3 linked regions of the Sus scrofa genome follow. Each later gene encodes a partner of the first gene's protein in a complex. Links are inferred from orthologs where the notes say so. Each region holds a gene or a part of one and is shown in the gene's direction. Other genes may lie near its edges. The genes, in order: MED23, MED7 and MED20.

Region 1 (3,645 bases):
TTTGTGAAGGAAAATTCCCCAGAGCACTGGCTACAGAATGACTGGCACACCAAGCACATGAATTATCACAAGGTACTAATTCAAGTTAGTGCTTCAGTTAATCCTTTTTAAAGCCATTCTTGTAGGTATTTGGCTAATTGACCTGGCTGTTTTCTCTGCAGCTCTACTGTTTTCTCTCTGGTCCGTATAGAAGTGAATTAGCTCTCTTAACTTTCTCAAGGTTCTAGAGGCTATCTGTAATGTTCAGAATAAATTAAAACTATAGTTTTAGTAGACATGAGTACTTAAAAAATGAAAAGAATTATGTATGTAAATGTATCTTTGAAACAGTAGAGATTTTTTGTTGGATAAAAGGACTCTTAAGTTTCATTTTATTGTAGCAGCAAACAGTTTCAGATTCTGTGAAAAACGACAAGTTTAGCTCCTTTAAGGAGAAAAAAAAAAAAAACATGCCTCAACATTTACCATTTCCTCATTTCCACAGAAATATCCGGAGAAGCTCTATTTTGAGGGCCTGGCAGAGCAGGTTGATCCTCCTGTGCCGATCCAGTCTCCCTACCTGCCCATCTATTTTGGAAATGTGTGTCTCCGCTTCCTTCCAGTATTTGATATAGTAATCCACAGATTTTTAGAATTGCTCCCAGTATCCAAATCATTGGAGACTCTACTAGATCACCTGGGAGGCTTGTATAAATTTCATGGTGAGCTTTTTCAAATTTTAATTCCATCTAATAGCCCTGTAGACAAAAGTAGGCTGGTCATGACCAAATGGATAATGGTGATTCTAAAGGTTTTATTTTAATAATTTTAATATAAGTGTTTTGAGAGGAGGTATGTGTGATGATGCCATGAAATGTAAAATAAATGACATAAAAATATCAACAGATCAGAGCAAAAAAAAAAAAAAAGTAATATGCAAGAGAAGCCTTGTTGTATATATTGTGTGATTAATTTCCAAATCAGTACAGAAGGAAAAAAAATAAGTTCAGAACAGACTGGTGTTACTGTGAACTAAATAGATCTTAGTGGGCTTCTTGGATGGTTAGGGTTTGAACTATGATGTATGGGATTTATATAAATAGGAAGGAGAAGAGAACATACTAGGCAGAAAAAATCTTTTGGAAGAATCATGGAGATGTTAAAAACAAGGCATTTTGAAAACAGTCGTCTCGTTGGGCTAAATTGTACCTGATGGCAGATCACCGTAAATGCCAGGCTCAGAAGTTCTGATTTTATAACCTAAAGATAATCAAGCATTAACTAGAAGTTACTGAGTTAAGTCATGTCATAGTATTATTTTAGAAAGATAAATCTAGTCAGTTGTAATTCCAATATGGACAACTTGGAAGGAGGAAGTCATTTTAAAGACTTATAACAAGACATTCAGTTGTATTAGCATCTAAACAAGTATGATGGCCTTGAATGAGAAAGAAGGGACAGATAGTCAAGGAAGTAAGAATTGGGCTTGATTGACCAGTTATGGGGGGAATATCAAAAGAAAGCAAAGACAGCTCTATGATGTTTTAAGCTTGATAACTGGAGAATAGTGAAATCAGTGACAGAGTGTGGAAGTCTTGGAGTAGCCACTATGGGGACAGAGTGTTTATTTGGGGGGTAGTTCTTCTTAATCCTTGGTGTAAGAAGTCTTCCTCCAAAACAAATCTGAATTATGTTTTAGCACTGTAGAGTAAGTATGAAGTTCAAGGGAGCAGTCTTTTAAAAACACTTCTCTGGAGTTCCTTTCGTGGCTCAGCGGAAACAAATCTGAATAGCATCCATGAGGATGCAGGTTCAATCCTTGGCCTTGCTCAGTGGGTTAACGATCCAGCGTTGCTGTGGTGTAGGCCTGCATCTACAGCTCCAATGTGACCCCTAGCCTGTGAATTTCCGTATGCTGTGGGTACAGCCCTAAAAAGAAAAAAAATTTTAAAAATAAAAATACTTTTCTTTTGGATCGGATAATATATGCACATAATGAAGTGTAAAGTAGTTAGTCCCAAGCCTGTGCTCTAGTTCAGCAGTTTCTTTCTCTATAAGCAATTTCTGTTACCACTTTCTTGTGTATCGTACCATAAATATTGTGAGGTTGGTAGTCTTTTTCCCACAAATATGTAATACTACACATTGTTCTGCACCTTTTTTTTTTTTTAACCTTTCTAACCTTTCTAATGTATTGGGGTTGATAAATTTGTATCAGTACATACAAAGCTGCTTCTTATATGCGGTAATTAAGTTAACCTGTCCACTGTTTTTCACTCTTTAGGCTGTTTTGATCTTTTGCTGGTATAAGCAGGGCTTCAGCGACATTGCTTACATTTATGACATTTTTTGCAGAGTAAATTTCCAGAAGTGGAATTGTGACCTCAGAATGTGATAAATATCCTTCAATATAAGCTCTGTATATTGTTAGAAGCCTTTTGCCTTGTCCTAGGATAAAAACATTCATTGTATGCACTTGGCCAACATGTGAAGTAGTTTTCATAACCTTCTGAGCTATTTATTGGTAATCTTAAAAATAGAAGGTTATTTTTTCACAGTTGTCAGTAACCAGGTAAACATTGTAGTGACCTCTTTTCTTCTTGGCAGATCGTCCAGTAACTTATTTGTATAATACTCTGCACTATTATGAAATGCACCTGAGAAATCGTGAAAGTCTCAAACGAAAACTTGTCCATGCAATCATTGGGTCGCTCAAGGATAACCGACCACAGGGCTGGTGTCTAAGTGACACTTACCTGAAATGTGCTATGAACGCACGAGAAGACAATCCCTGGGTCCCCGATGACTCCTACTATTGCAAATTGATTGGCAGACTAGTAGATAATATCCTTTTTATTGTGCTTTTCCAGTCTCTGCAGAAATAACTGTATGTCGATATGTGTGAACATATGTTGTCTTTTTATATGTTCCAAGACTTCAGGTTTTTTAATGTTTTATGTTTTAATTTTTGCTTCTGTAAAGGTTTTGAAATCTTAAATTAGTAGCAGCATGCCATGTAGGTAGAAATTTACTCCACTAAAATTTATATTTAAAAAAATTTATATTTAAAAATTTATATTTCCGCCTTCATGGCTCAGCGGAAACGAATCTGACCATTAGCCATGAGAACGAGGAGGATTCGATCCCTGGCCTCGCTCAGTGGGTCAAGGATCCGGTGTTGCCGTGAGCTATGGTATAGGTTATAGACACAGCTCGAATCTTGCGTTGTTGTGGCTATGATGTAGGCCAGCGCTACGGGTCCAATTAGACCCCTAGCCTGGGAACCTCCATATGCTGTGGATGCAGCCCTAAAAAAAGAAAAAAGACCTTAGAGAAGAGATTTATTTCAAAGAAAAATATCCTATTCCTAAATAAATGTACTAAGTCTTGTAGTACATGCATCTATTCACCACCAGAGAACATAGAATTTTGTTGCTTTAAATAAAAACCTGAATTTTTTAAAGCATTAATAGATAGTAATAAAACTTCTTTTTCTTTTTTTTAGTGAGAAATTCTATATTGATATTTTTATTTCAAGTAATTAGCACATTGTATTTAATAGCACATTGTACACCATGCCACTATTTACTAGGTTTATTTTACTACACAAAGGAATTATTTCCTGAAGTAAAAGAATTACTTAGGCTAAAGAAATTTTCTTATTAA
Region 2 (4,333 bases), on another chromosome or scaffold:
TGAGGTTGCGGGTTCGGTCCCTGCCCTTGCTCAGTGGGTTAAGGATCCAGCGTTGCCGTGAGCTGTGGTGTAGGTTGCAGACGCAGCTCGGATCCCAAGTTGTTGTGGCTGTGGCATAGGCCAGCAGCTGTAGCTCTCATTCAGCCCCTAGCCTGTGAACCTCCATGTGCCACAAGTGTGGCCCTAAAAAGTCAAAAAGCCAAAAAACGAAAACAAAAAAAAAGTGAACATATTTCTTCAACAAATAAATTGATGTGTGTGGGGGGGGGGACTGAAATGGAGGAAGGAAACTATAGATTAAAAGATAATAGAAAGAGGAGTTCCCATTGTGGCTCAGCAGTTAATGAACCTGACTAGCATCTGTGAGGATGAAAGTTTGATCCCTGATCTTGCCCAGTGGGTTAAGGATCCAGCTTTGCCCTGAGCTCTGGTGTAGTTCACAGACGTGGCTTGGATCTTGCATTGCTGTGGCTGTGGTCTAGGTCAGCAGCTACAGTTCCAATTAGACCCCTAGCCTGGGAACCTCCATATGCCCTGGAGTGTGGCCCTAAAAAGCCAAAAAAAAAAAAAAAAAAAAAAAGATAATAAAAAGATACATCAGCTAGTCACAAAAGACTTCATTGCATCTTCAGACATTTGGTATTTTCATACTGATTTCATTGATGAAACTAAATCAAGTTATTAACTTATTTTTAAATGAGACAGTGGTTCTGTGGTTCAATGAAAACAACAATAAAACCCCCAAACAAGTCTTTATCTTTCAGAAATGCATACTGAACTGAAATAATGTCTATAGGTAGATAATTATTGAAATTGAAAGTAGAGACTATTCTCTACTTCTATATATGTTTGGAACGCTTCATAGTAAGTTTTAAAAACTGGAATAAAAAAATCTTTTTTTTTTTTTTTTTTTTTTTTTTGTCTTTCTGTCTTTTTAGGGCTGCACCCACTGCATATGGAGGTTTCCAGGCTAGGAGTCCAATTGGAGCTGTAGCTGCCAGCGTAAGCCAGGGCCACAGCAAGGCGGGATCCGAGCCGTGTCTTGGTAGCATGCTTTTTTGTAAGATTCCCACAAATTTAGAAATGTGTAGCACTTCTTGAAAGTCGCCTCCAGAAGAAACTCTTACATATCGTTTTGTTTTATGCTTGTTAATTTGTTGCCTGGAAATGTAACAGAATCTGAATACGTGAATAAAACTGAATGGACGGTGAAGAAATATAAATTAAGAATATGTTGCTTCCCAACCATTTTCACACATATTTCGAGATTAAGATTTCCATGTTCCAAATTATTTCCAGCATGTGGAGTCCAATCTCATTTCTTAAGGTTATTTTTAAAATTATTTATTTATGTATTTATTTAAATGTTGTTTTTGACAGTGGGGTAACATTTTTTTAAATGTAACGTTTAAAAATAGCTGCTTGTCTCTATTTTTTAAAGTTTATGTAAGGCATATGGATGCTTTAATTTTAAGCGTTAAAAAAAAACAGCAAAAAAAGAAACGACGCTACCACGTGCCACTGCTACTGATAGAAAAAGCACAAGAAAAGACTCCAACACCCCAAACCCTGCGGCTGCCGCCAAATCGCGGAAAGAGCGGGGAGAGAGGAGGTTATGCGCAGGCGCAATAGCGAGCCATCGGTCTGAGGCGGGACTAGAGCCTGGGTTAAAGGACAGCTCTTTCCGCCAGTCAAGAGACAGCACCAGTAGCTTCTTCCGGGAAGAGGAGGCCGGAAGTTGGACTTCGGCTGTGGTGGCGAAGGCGGTTACCAGTGTAAACCCAGTACCGAGGTGAGTGGGCGGCGACGACTTGGGGCTCGGTTCCGTCCGCTGCATTTCTCCTTCCGGACCCCGCCGCTTCCTCCCGGCGGGCTGGGAGTGGTGGGAGGCTTGGCGCATAGTGTGCTCGCCCACCTTCCTCTCCCGCGCCCTTCGGGGAGCGCGGCCTCCCCGACCCCCGCGGAGCCGCCGGGTAGAGCGCCTGGAGGAAGGTGCTCTCCGCGCAGTGGGCTGCGGGCTGCTTCCGAGTCGGGATCTCGAGCTGCGCCGGAGGTCCGGGGAGCTGAGTTCCAGTCGTGTGCCGCTGGTTTGTGTAGCCTCTGCAAGTCTCTTGGCCCCTCCGGCTTTATGAGATAACCAACCCTCCCTCGGGGATCAGTCCTCTAATCACATGAAATAGTGGGAGGCTGGGAAGGAGGTAGAACTATAGCCTCATCATCAGATCATCCAGAGAGGTTTTGAAGGCAGCTTTTAAGCGTCCCCCTTCACAGTAGAGAAGTGAGCAAAACCTCTGGGACTGGCACCCTGGAATACCTTTCTGTTTTAGTTAAGTCCTCCAAAACGAAACAGACACTGAAAGGTGGATCTTCAATCTGATCACCACCTGTGATGCCTGGCGCTGGTTTTACCAGAGACTTCCATCGCTTTTGACAAGTTCAGCTGAGAGAAGTGATGGAGAGAGAAACATAATTTCTGTAGTATATCAAGTTTTTTTTGTATTGTTAGGCTCTTGGTACTTCACTGATTTGAGAGAGCTTGATGGTGCAACAAAAAGGACCTAGATAAGAATTCCTGCTCTGCCATTTATTAGCTTTTTGATCTGGTTGCAGACACTCCCTCTCAATGAGACAGACTTGTAATTATCAGCTCTAAAATGAAATCGATAGTGGTATTAAACTCACAGAAATATTACGAAGCTTAAGTAAGGGAGGGTATAAAACAGTGATACTGGAGTTCCCGTCGTGGCGCAGCGGAGAGGAATCCGACCTGGAACCATGAGGTTGCGGGTTCGACTCCTGGCCCACTCAGTGGGTTAAGGATTTGGCCTTGTGGTGAGCCGTGGCATTGGCCGCCAGCGGTAGCTCGGAATTGACCCCTAGCCTGCTTCTGAAATTGGGAAACCTGCTTCTAAAATTGAGACGGCCACTCTGAGGGCACCGAGAGGAAGGGGAGTGTTCTGGGAGCCCCAGGTCCGGGATCCAGGGCCCACTGCATGGAAGGTGTTCTGATGTTTGTTGAATGATGGAATAGTTGAAATCTTAATAGTCTGTTAGATGGGAAGGATCCTTTTTAAAATTTGCTTTTAACGGTGCATTAGTCTGAATGTTTTCAAGCTTTTATTCACATTTCCATTTTCTTTGTCATCTTTTGCCTGTTTTTCTATTAATTTTTAAAAATATAGGTTAAAAACAACCACAACTCATTGAATCTTTATTGAGGATTTAGCACCTTCTAGGCATTGCTTGAAATACTGGAGGTACATTTTTGAATAAGACAGACAGTTCCTGAAGTCGTAGTGCTTTTCTTCTTGTGGGGATGGAGTCAGTAAAAAAATCAAAATTAAATTCCTAGTATTTGTCCTTTGTTAGCTTGCAAGCATTCTTCTCCCAGAAAAATGGGATTGTTTTTTAATTTCGTTTATGATATACTTTTCTATATGGTTTTTAGATTTGTTTTTGGTAGTCAGATCTGTTGGTCTTTTGTAGCACCCTTAAGCCGTGTAGTTATCTGTTGTCCATTTTCCTTGATAGATTTTTAAGCAACGCTAGGATGGAGGCAGTGTTTCTTAAGAGAGAGAATGGTGTAGTGTTTGACATTCTCAGACTCTGGATCCTTCCTTTACTCTGTGACTTTATAGAAGTGGGTCAACCTTTCTGAGCCACAGTGGTCTCATCTCCAAATTGGAAAGAGCACTTTTCTTTTCTTAGATTTCTCATAACCATGAGAAAAGTAATTAAGAACAGTGTCTGGCACATAGTATACACTACAAATATTATCTGTCATAATCATCATTATCATATATTAGACAAACAGTAAATGTTTGAAGGAATAAATGCATGTTAAAGATGTTTGTACCTACTTCCAAATTTCCACTGGTTTGGAACCCTTTTGAAATGAATGGAGCTACCAGCAAATATTTATGAAGCTTTTGTGCGCAATTGACACAGTGAGAGCTGTGATAGTTATAGTCCTTCCCCTTGTAGCTTATAGTCTGACTGGGGCAACAAATCAGATTCTGGTACAGAGAGTAAAAGAGGAAAGGAAGAATCTGTTTTTGATGAATAATCAGAGAAGTAATATCTTTAGAGGTGACAATTTTAAGCTAGTGCCTGAAGCAGGAAGAAAATCATATGGAAAGACCCAAAGGCAGGAGAGGTTGGTGTAAAGAATTGTATAAGAATACTGGAAAACATTTTTTCTAGGATAGAAGGGAAAAGGAATGTGGTGTGAGAGTTGGGTTGACTGGTATATAGAGAAGAATAGTAACGAATATGAAATAATCCCTGGTGAAGCCATTGTGTTCCAGGTAAGAGGGAATGGTGTCTTGGTCAA
Region 3 (4,360 bases), on another chromosome or scaffold:
CTGGCCTTGGAGGATCTGGTGTTGCCATGAGCTGTGATGCATGTCACAGACATGGCTTGGATCTGGCATTGCTGTGGCTGTGGTGTAGGTCAGCAGCTGCAGCTCTGACTGGACCCCTAGCTCAGGAACCTCCATATGCCACAGGTGCGGTCCTAAAAAGCAAAAAAAAAAAAAAACAAAAAACAGAGACAATAGTGCAACCTTGGGGCAGGTCCAGATTCCTCCTCAAGGAATATACATAGTATCTTTGAGCCCTTCTGCAGAACTATTACTTGATGAAGTATGAAGCATTCTTCAGTGGAAAAAAGGAGGACCACCAGAACCAGTCCTGGGGCCACTAAACAGGAGCGTGAGAAACCGTGCAAGTTTGCCTCGACCCTGGTCCTTAACTGCGGCTCTATTTTCCACTCTTACACTGTAAAACCATCTCCTAATCTCTCTCAAGGGGACCATAGTCTTTAGGGCACTAACCTGCTCTGGCCCTCCTTTGGCAGAGCAATAGAGATATCTTTTTCTTCTTCACCCAAAACCCTGTCTCTGTGCTTCAACTGGGCATCGGAGGACAGAGACAGAGTTTTGGCAACACTACCTGCCTCATATCCTAGCTCCCCTCCTCGCACCGGTTTCCTCCGTGCTACCTGAGATTCTGTCTCCCGGGCCTAGGTCCTAATTTTGCTCCAAATAAAACTTAACTCTCAACTTTTAGGTGAAGGTCTCCAGCCACCCTAAATCCGGCCAGGGCTGGGTCTCCCATTCCATTACCTTTGCTAGAGTGTAATACGCCCCCCTGGGTTTTTTTTTTTTTTTTTAATTCCAAACTATTATCCTGCCGGACACTTTTCAGCCTACCACTACCAACTACCCATCCTCTTTCTCGCACCCACTCTCGCTACTCACCCAGCCGCGTGGTGCGATCTTGAGGTGCCGCCGGCCTGTCCCCGGTCCCATGCTCAGCCTCGAGCTCCTCTTGCTGCTGCCGCGCTTGTTGCAAAATCCGTCGGGTCAGCCGAGGCCCCACGTACTCCTCCTCCTCTTCTCCGGTTCCGCGACCCCGCCGCTTTTCCCGGGTCCCCGCCCGCACCGCATTCCCAGCCAGGATTTGGTCGGCCAGGGGCGCATGCTTTTCCTGACCCTCGGCCCCGCGGGCGGCCTTGAGTTTGGGCATTTCGCTAGAAAACCTCGCCGGGAAGTTTCACATGTGGGGACAGAGGAAAAGCTCTGAGTGCGCCGGCGCAGGGAACTCCCCAGAGGCCAGACGGTGATTACAGCGCCCCCTGGTGTTCGGAGGCCGGACCTGCCACCATCCCCGCCCCACCCCCTGATAGAGCTCCTGAGTCCTGGAGCTGGACTCCCGAATAAACTCATTGCAATTAACATCGCCTTCTCTAAGCAGTGGCAGTCCAAGCCACGCTTTCTTAGCTTCATGAATCTAGGCCCGGGGTGATTTGTCGAATAGGAAGTCCCCGAGCTGCAAGCCTAGGGGGCGGAGCCCTGCAGTGACGTCACTGGAGGCGCCTGTACGCCCCGTTCCTCGTGGCCGCCGAAGGGACTCGCACTTTTTACGTTATTTCCGGAGCACCTCCTACTACCGAAGCTTTCGTTAGGTCGGTGGTTTCACCTCGCGTGGGCTGCAGCAGAGCACTGCGTATCAGCTGTTCAGTACTGTCATCTTCCTGGCCTAACATCATGGGAGTGACTTGGTAGGACTTCAAGGGATTTCGTGGGGCGAAGCTTGGGGTGGTGAAGGGCCGGTGGAGCCTCCAGTGTCCCCGAGAGGAGGATCGGGATCAGGGTCTGAGAGAGATGCCCTCGAGTTGTGTGGGTGAGGGGACCACTGTGAGGGCTGCGAAATCTGCGGGCCTTTTTCCTCGGAGATGCGCCCCTTCTTTCTCAAAGGTGGCAGGTTAAAAATTTTTATCTTAAGAATCCACCAGTGGTCGCGTACCTCCTTCCGTTTTTCTTGGTATATTCTTCCTGCTCGTCATCCCACAGTACTGCCTGGGGTCGGAAATAGTATGTCGGGTTTAGGACCCATCTGCAGTCAAGGTTGGATGGGTTGTGGGGAGGGAGATAGACAACATTGAAGGCAGTATCTTTTTTAGGTTTTTGCCCTTCCCTATGGCCACTAAATGCAGTTAGACCAGCCTGTGTCTAGTTCTAATTTGGCCATTTTAAGATCTCGGGTCTAGAGGGGGAAAAAAAGAAGCTATTGGGAGTTAGGAGATTGGGATGTTAGGCACATCACCTCCTCAGAACCTGTTTCCTACTATGTTTAATTACATGCTTGGTTTAGTTTCTGTGGACTTAATATCTGTAACGTGTTATGAGTCAGAGTGCAGGGAAATATGGGCCTCATGCTCTTGGAGGCATTAGTTCCAAAATGCTAGATTTCAGGGCTTAAAAGAAAAAAAAAAAAAAAGGTATCTGGAGCATCTTTCCAATCAGAGAGGGCTAGAGGCCAGGGTATCAGGAGTCAGTGGCTATAGAGTCTTCATATAAGAAAAGAGCCTGTGGGAATTCTTCCTCCCAGTCACCCAAGTCTTGCACACTTGTCAGTGACTGCACATTTGCTTCCTGCAGTTGACATCATGAGCCTCTTTGGAAGTCTTTTAGTGTAAGGAGGATGTGAAGAATGGAGATGAAAAGTTTCCTCCGCAGAGGCATGGAATCCTGGAAGCCCCTGTTGTTTTTTTCTTTTCTTTTTTAAATTAAAATATAGTTGATTTACAACATTGTGTCAGTTTCTGCTGTGAGGCCCCTGTTGTTGTTTTTGTTTTTGTTTTTGTTTTCTTTTTTCTTTTTTTCTTTTTAGGGCTGTTCCTACAGCTTTTTTTTTTTCTTCTTCTTTTTTTCTTTTTAGGGCCGTTCCTGTGTCACATGGAAGTTCCCAGGCTAGAGGTTGAATCAGAGCTGTGGCTGCCAGCCTGTGCCACAGCAATGCCAGATCCGAGCTGCATCTGCAACCTACACTACAGCTCATGGCACCGCCAGATCCTTAACCCACTGAGCGAGGCTAGGTGATCGAACCCATATCCTCATGGATACTGGTCACATTCTTAACCCGCTGAGCCACGAGCAGAACTCCGAAGCCCCTGTTCCTTCAGTGCAGAAGGCAGACAGAGGGAAAAGGCCCTCTGTTGGGACCCTTCTCGACTTTTCAGATTCCTAGTACTTTGGACCCCAGTTGTATCATCTAAGGGATTCTCTTATTTTTCAAAATAAAGGCCATCATCATTGTGGCTTGTTAGTGCTCTTCCTGATGGAGATTACTGACAATTTGTAGCAACAGCAGGGGTCTGTTTTTATATTTTCCTTTAGTTGATCATAATTGGTCATAAAGTAATGCAGTACCTCCCAAAATTCAGCCACATAATGATTGTCTTTATGATTTTTATATAACTTCATAGCACTTGAACTATTTATTTTTTTTTAATTTTTTTTTTCTTTTTGCCATTTCTTGGGCCGCTCCCGCAGCATATGGAGGTTCCCAGGCTAGGGGTCTAATCAGATCTGTAGCCGCTGGCCTACGCCACAGCTCACGGCAACACAGGATCCTTAACCCACTGAGCAAGGGCAGGGATCGAACCCACAACCTCATGGTTCCTAGTCGGATTCGTTAACCACTGCGCCACGACAGGAACTCCTAATGCTTTCTTTTGATTCTGTTTTTTTCCTTATAAGTATTTTAACAGACAACTGTATCCTTAGGAAAGCATTCTTTTTTTTTTTTTTCCTCTTTCAGCTGCACTCGAGGCATATGGAAGTTCCCAGGCCAGGGACTGAATCTGAGTCACAGCTGTAAGCTGTGCCACAAATGTGGGAATGTCAGTTCCTTAACCCACTGCCCCAGGGCAGTATCAAACCCATGCCGTCACAGAGACAATGCTGATCCTTAACCACAGTGGGAACTTGGAAAGCTTTCGGTGGAGCATTTAAGAGCATGGACACGGAGCCACCTCACTTGACTACACTGCATTAAGCAGTATGACCTTGTGCCAGTTACTCAACCTCTCTGTTCAGTAGTTTTCTCATTTGTAATGAAGAAATGATTATGCTGTGTCTTATAGGGCTGATGCAAGTTAATTCATCTAAAGGCTTTGGGCACTGCCTGGCTCATAGTTGGTGCTTGGTAATTATTACCTACCACTTAAAGTAGAAGCCAGTTGCACTCTCCATAGAAGGAAATCTTGGAAATAACTTTTTATCTCATTGTTTTGGCTAAATTCTTGTTGCCTCTCACTCTCAAAGATTAGAAACTTGAGGCTTGCTTTCTCTTTGATCCAAGGATCCTTAGAACTTTCTTCATTGATGAAAATGTTCTATGTCACTGTCCGGTACACCAGTTCCTAGCCACTTGTGG

What was found.
Region 2: MED23 (region 1) and MED7 share a complex: the UniProt entries of both Homo sapiens proteins name them as parts of the mediator complex. The link is inferred for Sus scrofa from reciprocal best matches to the Homo sapiens genes MED23 and MED7.
Region 3: MED23 (region 1) and MED20 share a complex: the UniProt entries of both Homo sapiens proteins name them as parts of the mediator complex. The link is inferred for Sus scrofa from reciprocal best matches to the Homo sapiens genes MED23 and MED20.

What each region holds. Positions count from the first base shown.
Region 1 is NC_010443.5:31,991,063-31,994,707, forward strand, and holds part of MED23 (mediator of RNA polymerase II transcription subunit 23), read left to right. Parts: coding exon 1-72; intron 73-484; coding exon 485-701; intron 702-2,586; coding exon 2,587-2,823; intron 2,824-3,645. UniProt on the Homo sapiens protein: Required for transcriptional activation subsequent to the assembly of the pre-initiation complex. Component of the Mediator complex, a coactivator involved in the regulated transcription of nearly all RNA polymerase II-dependent genes.
Region 2 is NC_010458.4:66,113,084-66,117,416, forward strand, and holds the start of MED7 (mediator of RNA polymerase II transcription subunit 7), read left to right. Parts: upstream 1-1,512; 5' UTR 1,513-1,792; exon of another isoform or gene 1,793-2,087; intron 2,088-4,333. UniProt on the Homo sapiens protein: Component of the Mediator complex, a coactivator involved in the regulated transcription of nearly all RNA polymerase II-dependent genes.
Region 3 is NC_010449.5:37,071,347-37,075,706, reverse strand, and holds the start of MED20 (mediator of RNA polymerase II transcription subunit 20), read left to right. Parts: upstream 1-1,556; 5' UTR 1,557-1,686; coding exon 1,687-1,700; intron 1,701-4,360. UniProt on the Homo sapiens protein: Component of the Mediator complex, a coactivator involved in the regulated transcription of nearly all RNA polymerase II-dependent genes.